Arabidopsis thaliana: one gene and its partner. The protein of the gene in region 2 interacts with the protein of the main gene of each other region in a pairwise test. Each region holds a gene or a part of one and is shown on either strand. Other genes may lie near its edges.

What was found.
Region 1: the proteins of AT5G64780 (region 2) and AT2G42940 interact in a two-hybrid assay, tested with the Arabidopsis thaliana proteins (one large-scale study listed by BioGRID).

The regions. Positions count from the first base shown.
Region 1 is NC_003071.7:17,859,365-17,867,694, reverse strand, and holds AT2G42940 (Putative AT-hook DNA-binding family protein), read left to right. Parts: upstream 1-4,238; 5' UTR 4,239-4,424; coding exon 4,425-5,198; 3' UTR 5,199-5,441; downstream 5,442-8,330. Other genes in the region: AT2G42955 (F-box/LRR protein), read left to right, coding at 123-293, 421-553, 672-1,009; AT2G42950 (Magnesium transporter CorA-like family protein), read right to left, coding at 1,288-1,680, 1,762-1,965, 2,056-2,125, 2,217-2,276, 2,567-2,658, 2,756-2,944, 3,034-3,397, 3,503-3,636; AT2G42930 (Carbohydrate-binding X8 domain superfamily protein), read left to right, coding at 6,423-6,827; AT2G42920 (Pentatricopeptide repeat (PPR-like) superfamily protein), read right to left, coding at 7,311-8,330. UniProt on the Arabidopsis thaliana protein: Transcription factor that specifically binds AT-rich DNA sequences related to the nuclear matrix attachment regions (MARs).
Region 2 is NC_003076.8:25,897,302-25,906,295, reverse strand, and holds AT5G64780 (holocarboxylase synthetase), read left to right. Parts: upstream 1-4,168; 5' UTR 4,169-4,340; coding exon 4,341-4,499; intron 4,500-5,062; coding exon 5,063-5,143; intron 5,144-5,308; coding exon 5,309-5,596; 3' UTR 5,597-5,884; downstream 5,885-8,994. Other genes in the region: CLE21 (CLAVATA3/ESR-RELATED 21), read right to left, coding at 1-213; AT5G64790 (O-Glycosyl hydrolases family 17 protein), read right to left, coding at 1,737-2,390, 2,467-2,923, 3,237-3,583; RGF9 (root meristem growth factor), read left to right, coding at 8,211-8,286, 8,452-8,615.

The DNA of each region.
Region 1 (8,330 bases), on a different chromosome or scaffold from region 2:
ACAAATGAAATAGTTTTGAAACCAATTGATCAGATAAGCCCATACAAGGCCCATTATTTAGATGACAATTGTAATTGTAGCTTAACCAGAGCGGCTAAGTTACAAACCAAATAAAAAGGGGAATGGATAATGTTAAACCCTACACCGATCCAATGTCGGAAGAAGAACAAAACCCTGATCCAATGTCGGAAGAAAGAGAACAAAACCCGAATCCGATGATCTACCTATGTCCCGATCTAGTGGAAGAAATCGTCCTTGGATTGCCGTTGAATTCAATCCTCAGATTCAAAACGGTCTCAAAACAATGGAGATCAATCCTTGGATTGTGAGATTTTTGATGTCAATATTGGTGAATGGCGGAGATCGAGGAGCCCCCCTCCTTATTGGGTGGATCCCAGAAGGAAGTCTGCGTGTGTTCAGGGCTCCATCTACTGGTTAAATGTCAAACCTTTCCAGGTACTAGCTTTGGATCTTCACACACAAGAGTTCCATAATGTTCGCTCAAGACCAACTCACGCAACTTATGCCGACCAACTTGTCAACCTTGATGACCGTCTAGCCATAGCCTAATCGTTTTTGCATCCTCCTTGGATACTATGGATATGGACCATGGATGTTCTAAAAGATGATGGATGGACCAAGGCTTACTCCATAGATTTATCCTCCTGTAGAGATCTTACCGTGGAAAGTGCATTTTAGGCCGGTGGCGGTTTCTAAGCATGGAAATGTTTACTTGCATGACAATGAAAAGAGGTTGTTGAAATACTATCCAAAGACCAACCTCCTTCGTTGCATCTCTAAAGACACTTGGGTCATATCCCCTATGGTTGAGAATGTGCTTCCACTTCGGCCTCTAGGCTCTATTCCCAAGACATTCGGCTACGGATCCATATCTCAGGAGCTTAACCACATGCCGGGATCGAGGATGTCCAAATTTCTTAGCAGAATCCCAACTATACTGTTTACAACCACTCTAGTGTCTCAAGTTGTTTACCGCTATTTGTCTTGATGTTGACTTTATACTCGCTGAATGTTGTTATGTCTGTCAGTATATTAAGTATGAACTTGTTTGATCTTTGAAACATTTATCTTCACTCTTGCTTGTGACTTCTACATTTTCATTTTAATGGTGTTTTTAAACCTGACTGAATCGGAAAGAGCATCAGATTGAATTATACAACTTCCAAAATATAAAAGATAAACCAGTGAAGAAAAGAGTTTATTAATGATTTCCTAAAGATTAAATATTCTACATCTTACAATTTACAATCATAAACCGGATTGATTTCATTCCAAGAGAACGTAACCATTCGGATCATGGACTATCATTCTACTTCTACTAGTCGTACGTTCTATGTTCTGAGGAACTTTTTTGCAGACCTGAGCATGAGACTCAGCTTCTTGTTGAAACTTCTTCACCATTTCGTCAAGCTCTAGTTTCCTAGTCTCCACATTCTCTTCTGCCACTGGCTCCTTGAGTCCAAGGTAGATTAAACCAGCGACCACTAGCACCAAACCTGAGACGAACAGAACGACTGAGAAAAGCGCAAAGGCTTGTGGAAAATCTTTGGCACCTGGTATCCCATCTACGTTGATTCCAAATAGACCGGTCACTATTGTAATCAAAAGACCGACTCCTCCAAAGATTCCTAGGTTATGTGTGACCGTGAGGCTCTGGTCCTAATCAAGCCAAATAAAAAATTAAGATGACTTGGAGAGTTATGTACTTATGTCATCATCTCCGAATATGAAAAATCTAACCTGTAACCATGCTCGAACCGTGTTTTGCATGACATCTTGGATAGTGAATAACCGACCTCGCACGGCCTCTTGTTCATTGATCATATCGCGGGTGCTCTTTTTTATTCCTTCTAGCAAGTCTTTTGTTCTATTGCCTTTTAGTTGCTGAAGAAGCTCGAACACAATCTCTTCTCTAGCATGAAGCGACCATTTCACCCGTATAACCTAATAAATAATGAACAACAAGTCACTTGTATGAATAACATTAATCCAGATTAGCTGATCTCATCTTGTAGTCAATCAAGAAAGCCTTACCTGGGTCGACAGCCTTCTGATCTCTTGATTCAAGATTGTAGTGAACAGATTTGGGTCCTCGTACAGTCTCCTGGATATCAACAAAAATAAGTTATTCTGCTCCATCAGACATATGTCAAGGAAAGAAAATACTAAAGTAAGAGAAGGCTCAGTTAAAGTACTTATTCATAAACATCAACTCAACTTCATCAGCTGCACCAAATATATACTTCCGGAATAGCCTACATTAAGGATATTGATATCATCAATCATCACAAGGTCAAATCCAGAGAATGAAAAAGAATCAAAAGGTTCTCTCAACATTTGACTCCCATCTTTCAAACTCTAAGAATAAGATAAGACAAATAGGTTCTATCAAAGCAATACAAAGGTTTAACAATTTCATTGGCTACACCGTATAGACCATGTAAATGTGTATCCACTGCTAAAGACTTTCATAATGAATACTAAACTTCCCCAATATATACAACTTTTTTCACAACTTAATCTAGATTCAAGGGAAGGGAAATACCTATCATCCCAGCGTGCAAGGCGGCATGCAAGATGTGCTATTAGTTCATGAACGGTTCTCGGAATGCAGGCTCCACCAGCAATAAGCATTTCCTGGTAAGACAGAAGGAACCCCAGAAGACTGAAAACCAGTTTTGACTAATTGATCAACGAGTAAAGGAAAACAATGATTCAAATAAGAAGAACAAACCTGGACTTCAGTAATACCTAAGACACTAATGTTCAAGGCAAAGCCTTTAACGTGCAATGCAGTCACCAGAAAATTCTGTGCTTGCCAAGACCTTAAGACAATAGGTATGTCATCTTCTTGGATGAAAGGATCACCCGCTGATTGTCCCAACAGCTCAAACAGCAACCCACCAGCAACTCTGACAGGCACCTATCCACCAACATATTAACAAATTTCAGCTATAGAATCATAGCACAGCTCACATTACAAAGAAGCAACATAACTCAGATTTTTGTTACCTCATAGAAAATATGTTTCATTCGTTCACTAATCAGTTTGCTTTCGTCCCGCAGAGCAAGACTGACCGCGGGATGTAACCAATGCGCATTACGTAACCACGAGGCAATACCATGATGGGTAGCATCAAGATGACACCACCAAGTTGGACCAGCAAGTGGTCGTTCCCAGTAAGGAGCAGCAAGCTCAGCAACAGTGGCTTCATCCTCATCTAAGTCAATCTTTCGCAAATCCCAATTATTATCAACTTGAACAGTCTGAACAAGCTCAGAGATCCTATCCCATCCAATTCCTCGCCAATAACTCCTAGAATGTTCTTCGTCTTCACCAGTACCAAATTGATCTGTTTCACATTCCTGTTTCTTTCTATCACAACAACAACAACACTGTTTAAAAAAACACTCTACAAGAAAAAGAAAAAAAGAGACTAAGCACTAATATGTATCAACAAGTTAGTAACAATCATCATACATTCTGAGAGACGAATCTCCATGGACACTTGTGTTATTCTTACGACGACCTTGACAAAACTCGAAAGCACAGATAAGTCCATTGGTCCAGAGATTATGGTAACCTGGATTCCCGTTCTTGTGATTCGCATTCATGCTTCACTTTAAATCACAGATTTTCGATTCATATCAGTCAAATCTCGTTTTCTGAGTAAAAAAAACAATCTCGAAATTTTAGGCTGCAATTTCACGTAAGATCATCAGGAAGCACGGAATTCGAAAGAAAACTAAGCCAAAGGAGTCAAACGCAACAACCTTCCCCAGAACTTCCCTGAATTTTCTGCACCGATTCGAAGAAAGAAAACAACAATTTGACTGAGAGAGAGAGATGAATGTGGCACAGGTCGAGGACGACAAGTCAAGGCTAAGAACCAACCACACGTGTACATTTACATATTTTGGGCCTTATTGGACCTTCTCTGTAGGACCAATTTAAAAGCCCAATAAGAGTCGAGTATGGAAGGCGATAAAATACAGAGCAGTGGACGACTCTCATTTTTTGTTGTTTCTCAACTCTCGATCAGTATTTGATTTTAGTTTTGGTCCCAAAAAGGGTATAAATTTGGTTGTAAATAGCTACAAGATGTTTAAGCATTATTATGAATCTCTCTGTTAAAGAAGACAATTGTCATGAATCAAATACTTAATCATCTGTTGAGAAGTAGGCTGCCAGAAACTTTTCTTTTTTTTCTTTTTTTGCAAAATAAATTTGTTAACTATTAATCACAATTTTTGGTGACAACTTAACCATCTCCTACTCCTCACAATCATTCTTTTGGTGTCTCTACCATTTAATAATTCACCAAAATCTCCTTACTTAAACTCACAAACTCCTCACAAATTTTCTGAATCTTTCAGTTGAACATATAACAACATTCATAACAATGGCTGGAGGTACAGCTCTAACTCCAACCTCTGTAGGATCCAAGTCTGTTCCAATGAGGAACCATGAAGCAACAGAGAGAGGCAACACCAACAACAACCTGAGAGCATTACCCAAAGCCGTCCAACCGGTTTCATCAATCGAAGGAGAGATGGCTAAGAGGCCACGTGGCAGACCCGCTGGCTCCAAGAACAAACCCAAACCACCAATCATTGTGACTCACGACAGTCCAAATTCCCTCAGAGCTAACGCCGTTGAGATCAGCTCAGGTTGTGACATCTGTGAGACTTTATCGGATTTTGCAAGAAGGAAACAGAGAGGTCTCTGCATTCTCAGTGCCAATGGTTGTGTCACCAATGTGACATTAAGGCAACCAGCTTCATCAGGAGCAATTGTCACATTACACGGACGTTACGAGATCCTCTCATTGCTTGGATCAATCTTGCCTCCACCAGCACCACTTGGAATAACTGGTCTGACCATTTACTTAGCCGGACCTCAAGGACAGGTTGTTGGTGGAGGAGTGGTTGGTGGGCTAATCGCATCTGGTCCTGTTGTTCTCATGGCTGCATCTTTCATGAATGCTGTTTTTGATCGTCTTCCTATGGATGATGATGAAGCTGCCTCTATGCAGAACCAGCAGTACTACCAGAATGGAAGATCCCGTCCTTTAGATGACATTCATGGACTGCCTCAAAATCTGCTCACTAATGGAAACTCGGCTTCTGATATCTACTCTTGGGGGCCTGCGCAGCGTGTCATGTCGAAACCTTAATACTACTGCTCTAATCTCCACGTTTCATCATATCAAATGCCTTAATCTTATTATCTCATTTACCTTGGAATCAAAGATAAATGTGTCTGTAGGTTGAGAGAGAACCGTAAGTCTGGTTAAGAAACTGAAGCTTATCTCCCTTTGTAGTTTGTACCTGCAACAGTAAAAAGAAAAAACTGAAAAAAGCAAAAGTAAATGATTATGAATTTTAAGCACAATCCTCTAATTTAATACGAAAATATTACAATATTTTTATCCTTGATCCAAAGTGAATGTTGGCCATTAATAGCAGAACATGTGAAGAATCATACAAACTGGTGATTTCTCTTTACCTGTGTGATACCAATTGCAGTTGCACCGTTCCAGCAATTATTTAGGAAACTGAGCTAGCAACCAACTTCTGATTTTACTCCACTCTCATCCCAGTTTCAACATGTTATATAATCTGTAAATCTCTAGAGGATTTTTGAGGGTTTCACTAACAAGATACAAACTCTTGACGTTTCAGATATCTGGGGATTAAGGAAATAAACGCGGTTTCTCATGTTTATGATTGGGTACTTTCATGAGCAATGCCAAAAACATTAGTACGTCTATCACCTTAAACATCATAGCCTATTTCCCTAAATCCCTATTTCATTATCTAACTACCTTGAATTAAAATCAGTACTTCTGTGGGTAGAATAACATGTTTGGTGATGCTGAAGCTAATCGTTATGTACTTATATCTAGCCAGTGAAGACGAAAATATGTGAAAGTTTTCTCCTTGCACCTCACGGAAAACTTAGTAGATAAATCACAAACACATTAAAACTGACATCGAATGATAAACTAACCTTCAAGCACAAACTTCCAAACTTTTCTGGATTTGGATCAATAACTTGTGCTGTGCGTTTCCAAACCAACATTCTCGATGAAGTTTCTTTGAAAGATTCCGTTTAGGACGCTTTCCTGTAATGATCACACACAACAGAGGCACTATACATGGTCAGTGTAAACTGCATAGCATGTCATGGCATTAATTAGAGATAAAGACATATAATCATGCCTGTTATAAATTTCAATAGTTGGTTCAACACATGCATAGGCTTTAAATACGTCTCCAGGCAATGATATAAATACATGCAAATGTACATGATAGACAACAAATCATCATCATCAAATATAATCATCACCAGTTTCTCCATTTATTTTTCTACCAAAAAGCAAGAAATTTCTCAGAAAATGAAGACGAAGATGTTAATAACCCTCTTTGCACTAGTTTCAGTAGCAGGAACATCAGAAGCGACTGGTACACTTGCTGCACAGCAGAACACAAGCATTATACCTACATACACACTCTGGTGCATGGAAAATCCATATGCCTACTTTAGAAGAGTGATTTCGAGCCTAAAATGGGCTTGCAAAAATGGTGCTGATTGCTCACCATTGGAAAAGGGTGGCCGTTGTCAAGACCTCGACAATTACAGAAGCCAAGCTTCTTATGCATTCAATGACTATTACCAGAAGAATCCTATACCCAGAAACTGCGATTTCAATGGTGCTGCTGTGCTTACAGTTCAGGACCCAAGTAATACTAAACACTTTACATTCGAAAAAATAAAACCAACCTCTGATCAAAATTCCTAGAGTTCCATTGTGATAGTGTCTATATACGTCAGAACTGATTTTTCATAATCATCTTCAATTTGTGATTGTTGTTCTTCTTCTTATATCTGTGAACTTTGATTGCAGGCACTCCAACGTGTAAGTTTCCATCTAACAGGTGAGCATAAGATTCATTTTTTTTTTTCCATTTCGTTAACCTTCCGGAAGAAAAACACAGTAGATATAATTTATATAAATCAATTTTTCAGCACTGGTCCATACCCACTGACTTCTTCAGTAACAAGAACTGCAACTCCAAGCCTACGAAGCTTCTTTTGGGGTTTTGTATTCACATACCTGGCTTATAGTGCTGCTCAGATAGCTTGACCTAGAAGAAAACTGTAGAACAGGACAATCAAGGTGTGGTTTTACGAGAAGAAATATTTTGTATAAATAACAATATGATAAATTAGTATAATACCTAAAATGATATCTTCCGCTACATCTCCAAAACTATCAAATTGCTTATTTCTCTGCCAGATAAGTGAAACCAATCCTAGTTGTAGCATCAAACAATTCAGCGAAACCTGATTTAATTGTAGAGACATCCCAGTTTAAGATATCGAGTAAACTGTAAATCTCTGCGGATTTAGGATGCGTTCCCCCACAAGATATAAACTCATGAACTTCAAAATCCACTTCAATCGAACTGCAGCCAACTTCTTTCTCCATTTGTCTTTCCTTCATCAAAAGCCTCTGCTCAACTGCCTCTTCGAACAAGCCATAAGAAGCATAAGCATTAGACAAGAGAACATAACCACACGTTTCATCTGGATCGAGCTTCTTCAAACATTTTGCTGCTCGTTTAGCCATCTCAACATTACCGATTTTCCTGCAGGCAGAAAGCAAAGAACTCCATATAACAGTGTCTTCTTCCACCGGCATATTCTTTATCAATGCTTCTGCTTCTTCGAGGAGCCCCGCTCCACCCAGCACATTAACCATTAAAGTATAGTGTTTTATTGATGGCTCAATCATATATTTTTCTTTCATCAATCTGAAAAATTCATCAGCTCTATGTACTTCCCCGGAGTGAGCACAAGCTGTTAAAACACCAATGAAGCTGACTGAATCTGGTTCCAAGCCAGAACGCTCTAACTCCGAGAACAAATCCATGGCCCTTTCCTCGAATCCGTTATTAGCTAGACCAAGAATCATCGAATTCCAACACGATAACTGCTTCTTAGGAGCACACTCAAACACATTTAGACCTTCCTCAATGCACCCACACTTACAGTACATATCTATGAGTGCTGTAACAACTATACTATTCAATTCAAACCGATTCCTCACTATGTACTCATGTATCCATCTCCCTTGCTCACTTGCTCCAAGGTACGCACAAGCATTCAACAGACTCACCATTGTAAACCCATCAGGTTTCACATCTTTCTCCTGCATCTCTCGAAACATATCCAACGCATCCTTAAATCTACCATTCCTCACAAACCCACTAATCATCGAATTCCAAGAAACTCCATTTCT
Region 2 (8,994 bases):
ATTAAAATTTGACATCTCCGTGATCACAACCTTGTGATGATTCTTGTAGTATAGTGATCGAGCAACGCTCAAATTACGATTTCTTCCTGTAGTCATGAATCTTCCAGCTTGGATCGAACTTGAACGGGAGATAATGATTAATACTAACACTGTAAAGATTACAATGATTAAAACATCTCGTTTCATTGCATATCGTGAAGATAAAATTAACATAGATATCGAAAAAAGTATGTTTGAATCTCTCTCTCAAATCACGATTACTTTCTTCTTCTTCTTCTTCTCTCTGCTCTTATCGTAAGAGTTGAGGGAATTTTAGTAAAAGTAAGGAGGAGCAAAGGGGAATAAGGAGAGAAGAAATAGAATGGTCAGCAGCATTCATTACATTGATATGACTACACAATTATCATAATTGATAATTTCGTACAATAATAACAAATATTTTCGTATTATTAACTAGCAGATTATATACTACAATTTTTTTACTGATAACATTACAAATTGAAAGAATTGTTGAAAATAAGATGAAATCTTTGATAAATAGTAAGCAAAACTTCACTTATCACTATATTATATAATTTGTTATTATAAGTTTGCGAAATGATGATATAATTGAATAGTCTTGACTCTTGAGTTTACATATGTATAGTGAACATAGACAAAATTAAGTGAAATATATATAAACTAGATTTTAACCCGCGGTATACTGCGGTATAATTTATTTTTTAAAGTTAATATATATTAAAACTTGCAAATTTTATTTTTATAAAATATTTATATTTTACAGTTTATAATTGTTATTAAGTAACGCTATACAACGAATCCATGAGACAATTGTTAAAAAACTGAAGTTTTAACCCTTACTAAAACAGCATATTAATAATATTTTAAAATTTTATAAATATTGATTCAAATACATCCACCATATAACTCAATTCCAAAATAAAATCCGTTCTGTAATTTCTTTACCCATCCCGTGATTTATTTTTAAAGTAGTAATTTTAAAAATTTGAAAATTATTTATTACATATAAAAGTTTTACAAATTGTATCATTCTCTAATACATTTATATTTTATAGTTTAATTTTATATATAGTAACATTATACATACCACATAACATTTTTGGTTTTATATAACCTTTTCTAAATTAGGATGATTTGATATGTTTAATATTAGTGGTCTTAAAAAATAATAATTAAATATTTAACCCGTATTGAAACAGTGGATCAATTATATTTTACTTTTTTATTAATGTTGATTCAAAAACCCGTCCCTCCAAATAGTTATTGATTTATTAACTTATTTGTTTATAATTTGGTAACAGATAGATATTTAAATATTCGGTATATTTTGCTTCAGTTTAGGAAATCTTTGATGACCCGTCTTTAGATATAATAAGCCCTATAATTAAGAAATAAATATTGTCGTTAAATGATTTTGGTAACCTTAATTACGTCATTAAAGGATTTTGTTTTTAATTAATTTTTTTTAATGGCATTGTCATGTAATTAATTATAAAAATTAAAGTTACATTTAAAATGTACTTTCCAAATAATATAGGAAGATGAAAAACAAGTCTATAAATGAGTGTATGATTTGATTATACTGATCTAAACACAGATAAATGAACTAACTCAAAAGTAAACATTTTTAAAACGAATAACAAATAACAATTAATCGTGTCGAATAAATCCCTCCAAATTGCAAAAAGAAAACCAAACAACAACAAAAAAACAAATTATATAACCGTGAGCAATCCAAGAAGAACAAGTCCAAAGACGACGAATCTTCCGAACACAAAGTTGATCCTGAAATCATCACTTCCACTAACGATCTGAACAGGGAACAAGCAACTTCCCACGGATGCATTGACCTTGGTGATCATTGCAGCTCCTTTGAAATCGCAAGCCCTAACGTCTTGGTCTTGTATCTGGAAATACATGTTAAATGCGTATGATATGTTTTGGACTTTGGTTAGCTTACTACAAGTTGACCCGGCTTCCATCGCGGTGCAGTCCCCGTGGTAACACGCATAGTCTAGATCAGGACCAACTTCGTCTAGATTGACCGTGTCTTTGTTCACTACGCACCATTGTTTTTCCAAGTACTGCACACCTTTAGCTGCAACGGGCACCATTTGGCGTCCTTGTCCCGTGAAATCTAGCATAAACTTTGGTGTCCCATCGTATCTAAAGATTCCCCAATGTCTCTCAAAAGGCCCTGGAAGAATACTCTTCATGTCTTCGTCGAGGAAACCGAAGAGATAGACCTCTAATCTTTCAGGCCTCGTTGGAGTCCCACCGTCCTTAGCAAGTCTTTTCATAAGCCCTGCATAGAATTTCTCCGCTAGCTTCGGCGATGCATATTTGTGACCATCCGTTGGCCATCCAACCTAAAGAAAAACATAAACCAAACTCAATAACATTCTTGATAAATATATCTAATTAATAACTTGCTTGTCACGTTACCTCTCCAACGATAATCTTCATATCGTGAATCCCAGCCTTCTTCAACGCGTAAACAAGTGTGTCGTAATTGGCGTCAAACACGTTATCATAATTCTTTCCTTTGTCAGTCATTGTCTGACCATCACCGTCAAGAAAAGCGAACTCAACGGGAAAATGCTCGTTTAGGTAAAGACTAAGGAAAGGGTAAATGTTGACGGTGAAAGGTAAGTCGTTTTCGTGGAAGAAATTGACGATATCAAGCATCGTTTGTTTGACATCCTTGCGGAAATCACCTTCTGATGGCTTGTCGTTGGCTGATTGGTAAACTTCTGCGTTTTGTGGGATCGTGGCTTTCATTATATTGGTGTGTCCAGCTTCTTTTAACGCCTTGTGAATGTTCTTTAACGCTGGAAATGTTGTCTTCAAGAACGATCCGTTGTATGCAGACAAAAACGGCTCGTTCCCCACGGCTACGTACCTAGTGAATGAATTCTCGGTCAAATATACACCCAAAACAGCGACTTTTACCGGTTTGTAGGTATTTAGATGAATATAATGTCAAATTTATTATTATTATTAAATTTTAACAAGAAACTAAGAATATTAAAAATTAACAGGAAAAAAATTGTCTGAATAAATGAAATCATCTCATTGGTGCGATTTTGTTCAAATTGGAAATAAATAGCCAACCAAAATCGATCTATTTATCAAATCGGTTTATCATGTAGTCGATCAGATAGAATTATGGTAAAAACATGATTACAAAAAAATGAAAAAGTTTTGAAGGTTACTTGATGTCGACGCCACCCTTACGAATATACTGGGTCACGTTTTCTTTAACCCAATCTTTAGCATTATCGTAATCATCTGCGAGAGACTCAAGAAGGTTATTAGGGATTCCAACCATAACCTCCATGCCCGTACCAGCCAAAGCATTCATCGTCCATGAATCAGCGTCAAAAAGCTTCACTTTATTGATCTTATTGTCCTTAAGCATCTGAACAACAATGTTGGGATTCAACGGATGTGATGCGATATTGCCCCAATTCACACCGAAGCCTCCGACCAAACTAGCCAGGGTCAAAACGGTCATTATAACCGTCCCGACGTTAACGAGCATCGCTGCTCTTCCGGCCATATATATTGAGAAGGCGACGATGGATGATAATTAGGGTTTGTTTGATCTCGAAGATGTGTTTTTGTTTTCTTTTCTTTTGTCTGGTTGATGTTTTTTCTTCTTCCAGTCGGTAAAATTCTTTTTCGTGTCTTGGGTGGTCGTTGTAATAGGAATGTTTTTAGGTTGTTAGTGAAAGATTAATTAAGCTTAAAATAAATTTCTATTTTTAGAAAGAATTACAAGCTACAAAGAGGTGTGTATTTTTTTCGGAATCAGTTAGTTTTTTTTTTTTTGGTTAAGAGAGTATATCGCTGTTAATAATTGGTCGAATTGCTTATTAAACGAATACATCCTTGAAACAATGAGATAGCAGTTTATTAATATTAATTTTTGGTATATAAATCAGTCTGAACTCAAAATATGTGATTAGCTACTATTTTCATTGAAGATCCACAAATTATTAACGGTTTGGTTCTACACATAAAAAAAAAAATTCGTGGACCAAAGAAAAAAAAAACAGTCCAAAGCTTCAAAATTTTTGTCTGCAAAGCCAATAGTGGGGCCCAGGTTTTTAGATATATGGGACCCTTAAAAGTAGCATGAAAGCCACGTGGCAGAATCTCTACAGAGTAAATGCCACAAGTCTTTCTTCTTCTTCTTCTTCCCTTCACCAATAAGGCAATAATCCTTCTTCTTCTTTCTAAAATCCCTAAATTACAAATTGTTAAGAACTTGGACAATTCTATTTCTAGGGTTTGTGAGATTCGTTCGGACTCTAATGGGGAAGAAACGAAAATCCGAGGCTACGCGGCTCGATGAGGTTGATCGAACCATGTATGGCGCGTTTCGAGGCGCTGCTAATTCGCTCTCGCAGCTCTATACACATGCCATGAATCACCAACGCGTTTCTTTCCTCGCCGGTGAACGTCGCGGAATGGTCTCTGCTCTCTCTCTCTTGACCTTGTTTTATATCCAGTTTCGATTTTTGGCTTCTGGGTTCGATAGATAGAAACATAGTTGAAAAGTTTTCTTCTCGTTGCTTGTTTTGATGTTGGTTGACTATCTTGAATCGTAAATTGAGTGCTTATGTGTTGTTGGGTTTCTGTTTGCTCTCGAGATTTTAGAGTCACAGAATGAATCATGGATATTCAATGTTGTTTCTTATGTGTTGTTTTGGTAAAGTTGATCTCTTTGGCTTGTTTATGTTCGATTGATTGTCGTACGTGAGTTAATTGGAGACACACTCTGAAATTGGTTATGATCTATGAAGCTAGTTTAGATATGAGGCTAAGCAAGCAGTCTTACTGATAAAAGTTGTGGCCTTTTGATCTTGAAGTGCTTACTTTTGTTTTTTACTAGATTGATGAACTAGGATGGCTGTTCTCTTTTGGTGGCAGCTTGACGTTCTTGGCGTCATTCAATAGTGATTCATGACATTGTAGTATGAGATTTGAGGTTTGATTGGTCCATTGAGTTTTACTTTTTTCTTTCTTTTTACAGGAGAAGCTTTACCAATGGATTGTGAGACAAGAAGAACAAGGAACTAGAGTATCCACAGCTGATATTACTACCTACTTACAGGTACTTTCCTTTGAAAACAGTATCTCGTTTCTGATTACGCTCCTGCTATGTAATTGGAATTCAGATTGATTATACCTCTCTTGACTAGCTACGCATTAAAGTCCCAACGATCTTTAGTTTGATCTGAAAGTTATTCGTGTTTACCTTTTAAAACCATATATGCAGAATGCGCTTGAATATGAACCTGAGGAGACGTCGATACCACTCCCCATGCAAGAGTTTTATCAGCACCAATTCGCTCCACCAAACGTAAATACATCAGTAGCTCATGTTCCTTCAAGTCACATAGCACAACAACAACATTATGATTGTAACCAAGAGAAACTCTTGATTCCACCAAATGGTCTCTCAAGTCCGGTTCGAAGAACCCTTCAGGACTTCAACTTGTGTGAGGCTGAGTCTGGTAATAATAACTACAATCCCAACTCTACAGGTGAACACTTATCTTACTGAATAAAATCTTGTTTCATTTGCCGAAAGATGAAAAACATAAATCATTCCATTGTAAAGTCTCAATTGTTTGTGGTAAAGTATTGTCTCATGTAATACACAAAACACTTTTTCCTAATCTTTCAAAGAAGCTGGATGAATGTGAATTGACCCTTAAGATAGACAAATCTCTGATAGTGATTTTGTCGATAGGCGATATGATGATTTCATGTCTTGTCTAAAGCTCTCAAGACTTAAATGTAGACTTGTTAACAGTGATGAAAGAGAGACAAAGACTAATGATCAAAATTGAAGCCAAAACCTTCCATGTGCTCTCATGGTCCCTCTTTCAATTCAACTTGTCTGCAAAAACATTGCCCTGATGTTGATCTTCGCCGAGCTACGTGGTTTATGCTAATCCTCAGAAGAAACTTCTCGTTCAAAAATCTATGGACAGATAAAAACAAAAGTTACAGAATCACACTTTCTTCTTCTTTTGGTCATGGTGTTATCTGTACTAACAAGACATTCATCAAGGTGGTTGTCTGGAGATTGTCACTACATCTTGGCACAATGACATTTTGGCTGATTTCTATCTAGATTTTTTCCAAATTTTGTGTCTTTTTTTATTTGCCACGGTGTTTTCAAACGTAAAAGTCTAATCAACTCATCTAGCTAATCATATAAACTAGAGCTATAATAAAATTTGAAAGTGTTCGAAACAACTTGTCACTAAGAATTTATAAATAATTAGGTCCACACATAATTATTTCAGGAGTCAGGTCATAGGTCCATATACATTTCAATGGGGTATCAAAACGGTCATAATAAAATAAAGTTCAAACTTTTTAGTCCATAAATCTTATCGATCAAATCGGATCACAATACTATTTATTGACTAGAATTGTCAATTTTGTTAAAATATAACGCCGTATATGAATTTAGAGCATAGACTTTGGACTTGGATGTATACTGTTTTGTCAATTTTTTAAAAATTTCTTAAATTTGCCTCATATATATAATAATTTGGATGTAGCAAATAAATTTTAACGAGTGAAATATAAAATTGTGAACCATATTTCATTCACGTGGAATAGTAATATCAATAAAAAAAATAGTTAATTTTGGATGATTGATTTTAAATAAATGGAAAAAGAAAGTAGACCAACTCTTGTCGGAAATTATAGGTGAAGAAATTGAGTTATAGTAATGAATGGCTAATTGGGAAACACATGACACAACAAACTTTACGTCCTTTTTGCCATATTTAAGCACTCTCTATAACAATGTCCCCGACCCCTACTCCAATAATCTACTTCCCCTATTCTACTATTGTGGTCCAGTTTATACCATTATTTATAATCCAAATTTTAGTTTATGATCAAACTTTCACGTTATCAACGAGAATCGCATTCATGATTTGGCTAAGTAAGATTTTCTAAGCCTAATATTTGTATTCAAATCCTGTAAAGCTGAGATATCCTCTCTTACAATAAGTCATGAACGCACAACCCCAATAATGAATGAAGAGTACTCATGAATGAAAATGGTTCCAAAAACATGACACAACAAACTTGACGATATCATCTCTTACAAGTCTCGATACGAAGTTAGTAATATATCTCTTCGTCCACAATTGACTACATAAATATTTTTATGTATGTAGAACAATATTGAATGTAAACTAGGTTATTAATTACGAATCCATTATTTGACTTGCGTATTAATCATTTGTTTTCAATGTTCTGATAAATCATATTCCTTTGAAGGACCACAACTCCATCTCCATGATCAAAGGACCACTCGATTTTCAATAATCTCCTTGAGTTTTATCCCACTAGTCTATATGAGATAGACAACATTATAGTGAATATGGTTATAGAATCTGGATGGTTTATATCAATTTAGACATCATGTAGAAGTACATCTAAACTGTTGGTTTAAGGTCGGCTGGTAGTGTGCACCCATGATTTGGCAACATCTAAACTGGTTTGGTTAATAGATCATGGCAAGTTATTACTCCCCTAACCTCATTTCCTCTTCCTGTAATATATATTGATCTTGTATTTAAAAACATAGAAAGAAGTTAGATTTTGACAGTTTGAAAACTGAGGAAAGTGTTGAGAAAGAGAAGAAAAACGTTTTTCAAGAGATAGTTTCAAGAAATCAACTACAAACAGGCATTTATCAAAGGTGACAAGTCATTGATCTTCGTTCGTGATTTCATCCGACCTTTTGATTACCAAAGTTCCTGAATTTTTTTATTACTAAACTGGGTTAAGGTATGTGTTTCGGTTTAAATTTCTTACATATACAAATGTGAAATTAAGTTTGTAACCGAAATTCTGTTTCTCATTCAAAAGACGTGATTGCATAAATTATCATCATTTATTTGCTTTGCAAACAAGAAATATTAATTTTGTGGGGATAGATTCATGTTAATGTGGGAAGACAGAGAAATATCGACGTCAAATCCTTAGACCCATATGTCTCAATAACTTCCAAAACGTTATTCAATTCCGATATAAAATTGGGACCATAAACTGATCATAGAATCATTCATCTCTATATATAAACACAAAAAGGTTCAACAAAAGATAATTCTATATAACCAAAGAAAAAAAACTCTCTTCCAAAAATGGCAATTAGGGTTTCCCACAAGTCTTTCCTCGTCGCACTTCTTCTCATACTCTTCATTTCCTCTCCTACTCAAGGTAAATTTATAGCTAATATATATATACACACAAGCGCGCTCACCTCACGAGTTTCTAGCTATATCAAGTATAATTTGAATGAATCTTCTTCTTGTTTTTTGGTTGAATATCAAAATATATTACCCAATAATGAGTTCTTGATATATAAACATTTTGATTTTTTAGCACGAAGCTTACGAGAAGTAGTAAGGAATAGAACGCTATTGGTTGTGGAGAAGAGTCAAGAGAGTCGGAAAATAAGGCACGAAGGTGGAGGAAGTGATGTTGATGGATTGATGGATATGGATTATAATTCTGCGAACAAGAAAAGACCGATACACAATCGCTAATAAACACACATGAACTTATCGAATTCTTGTGAGATATCCTGAGATCCAAAGATATCCCGAGATTTTATCTTTTACTAAACATAAATTATAAGAAGTGAGAATGTATTTTATATAAGAAAAGAAGTGAGAATGTAAACTATTATTATTTATAGGAACATATAAATATAAACGACTTTGTATGCATGTGTACAGTATTATCTCGAGGGAAAACAGTTCTATACAATAATCATAGCTTGTGTGTGCTAGCTTTATGTATGGATTGCATCATGGTTTTCTGTTTGTGAAATAAAACTCTATAATATATTATGTGTATATAGAAACCCACAAATATCTTCTTTAACTCTGTTGTAGTATTAGTTCCAATAAAATAAAATTACAC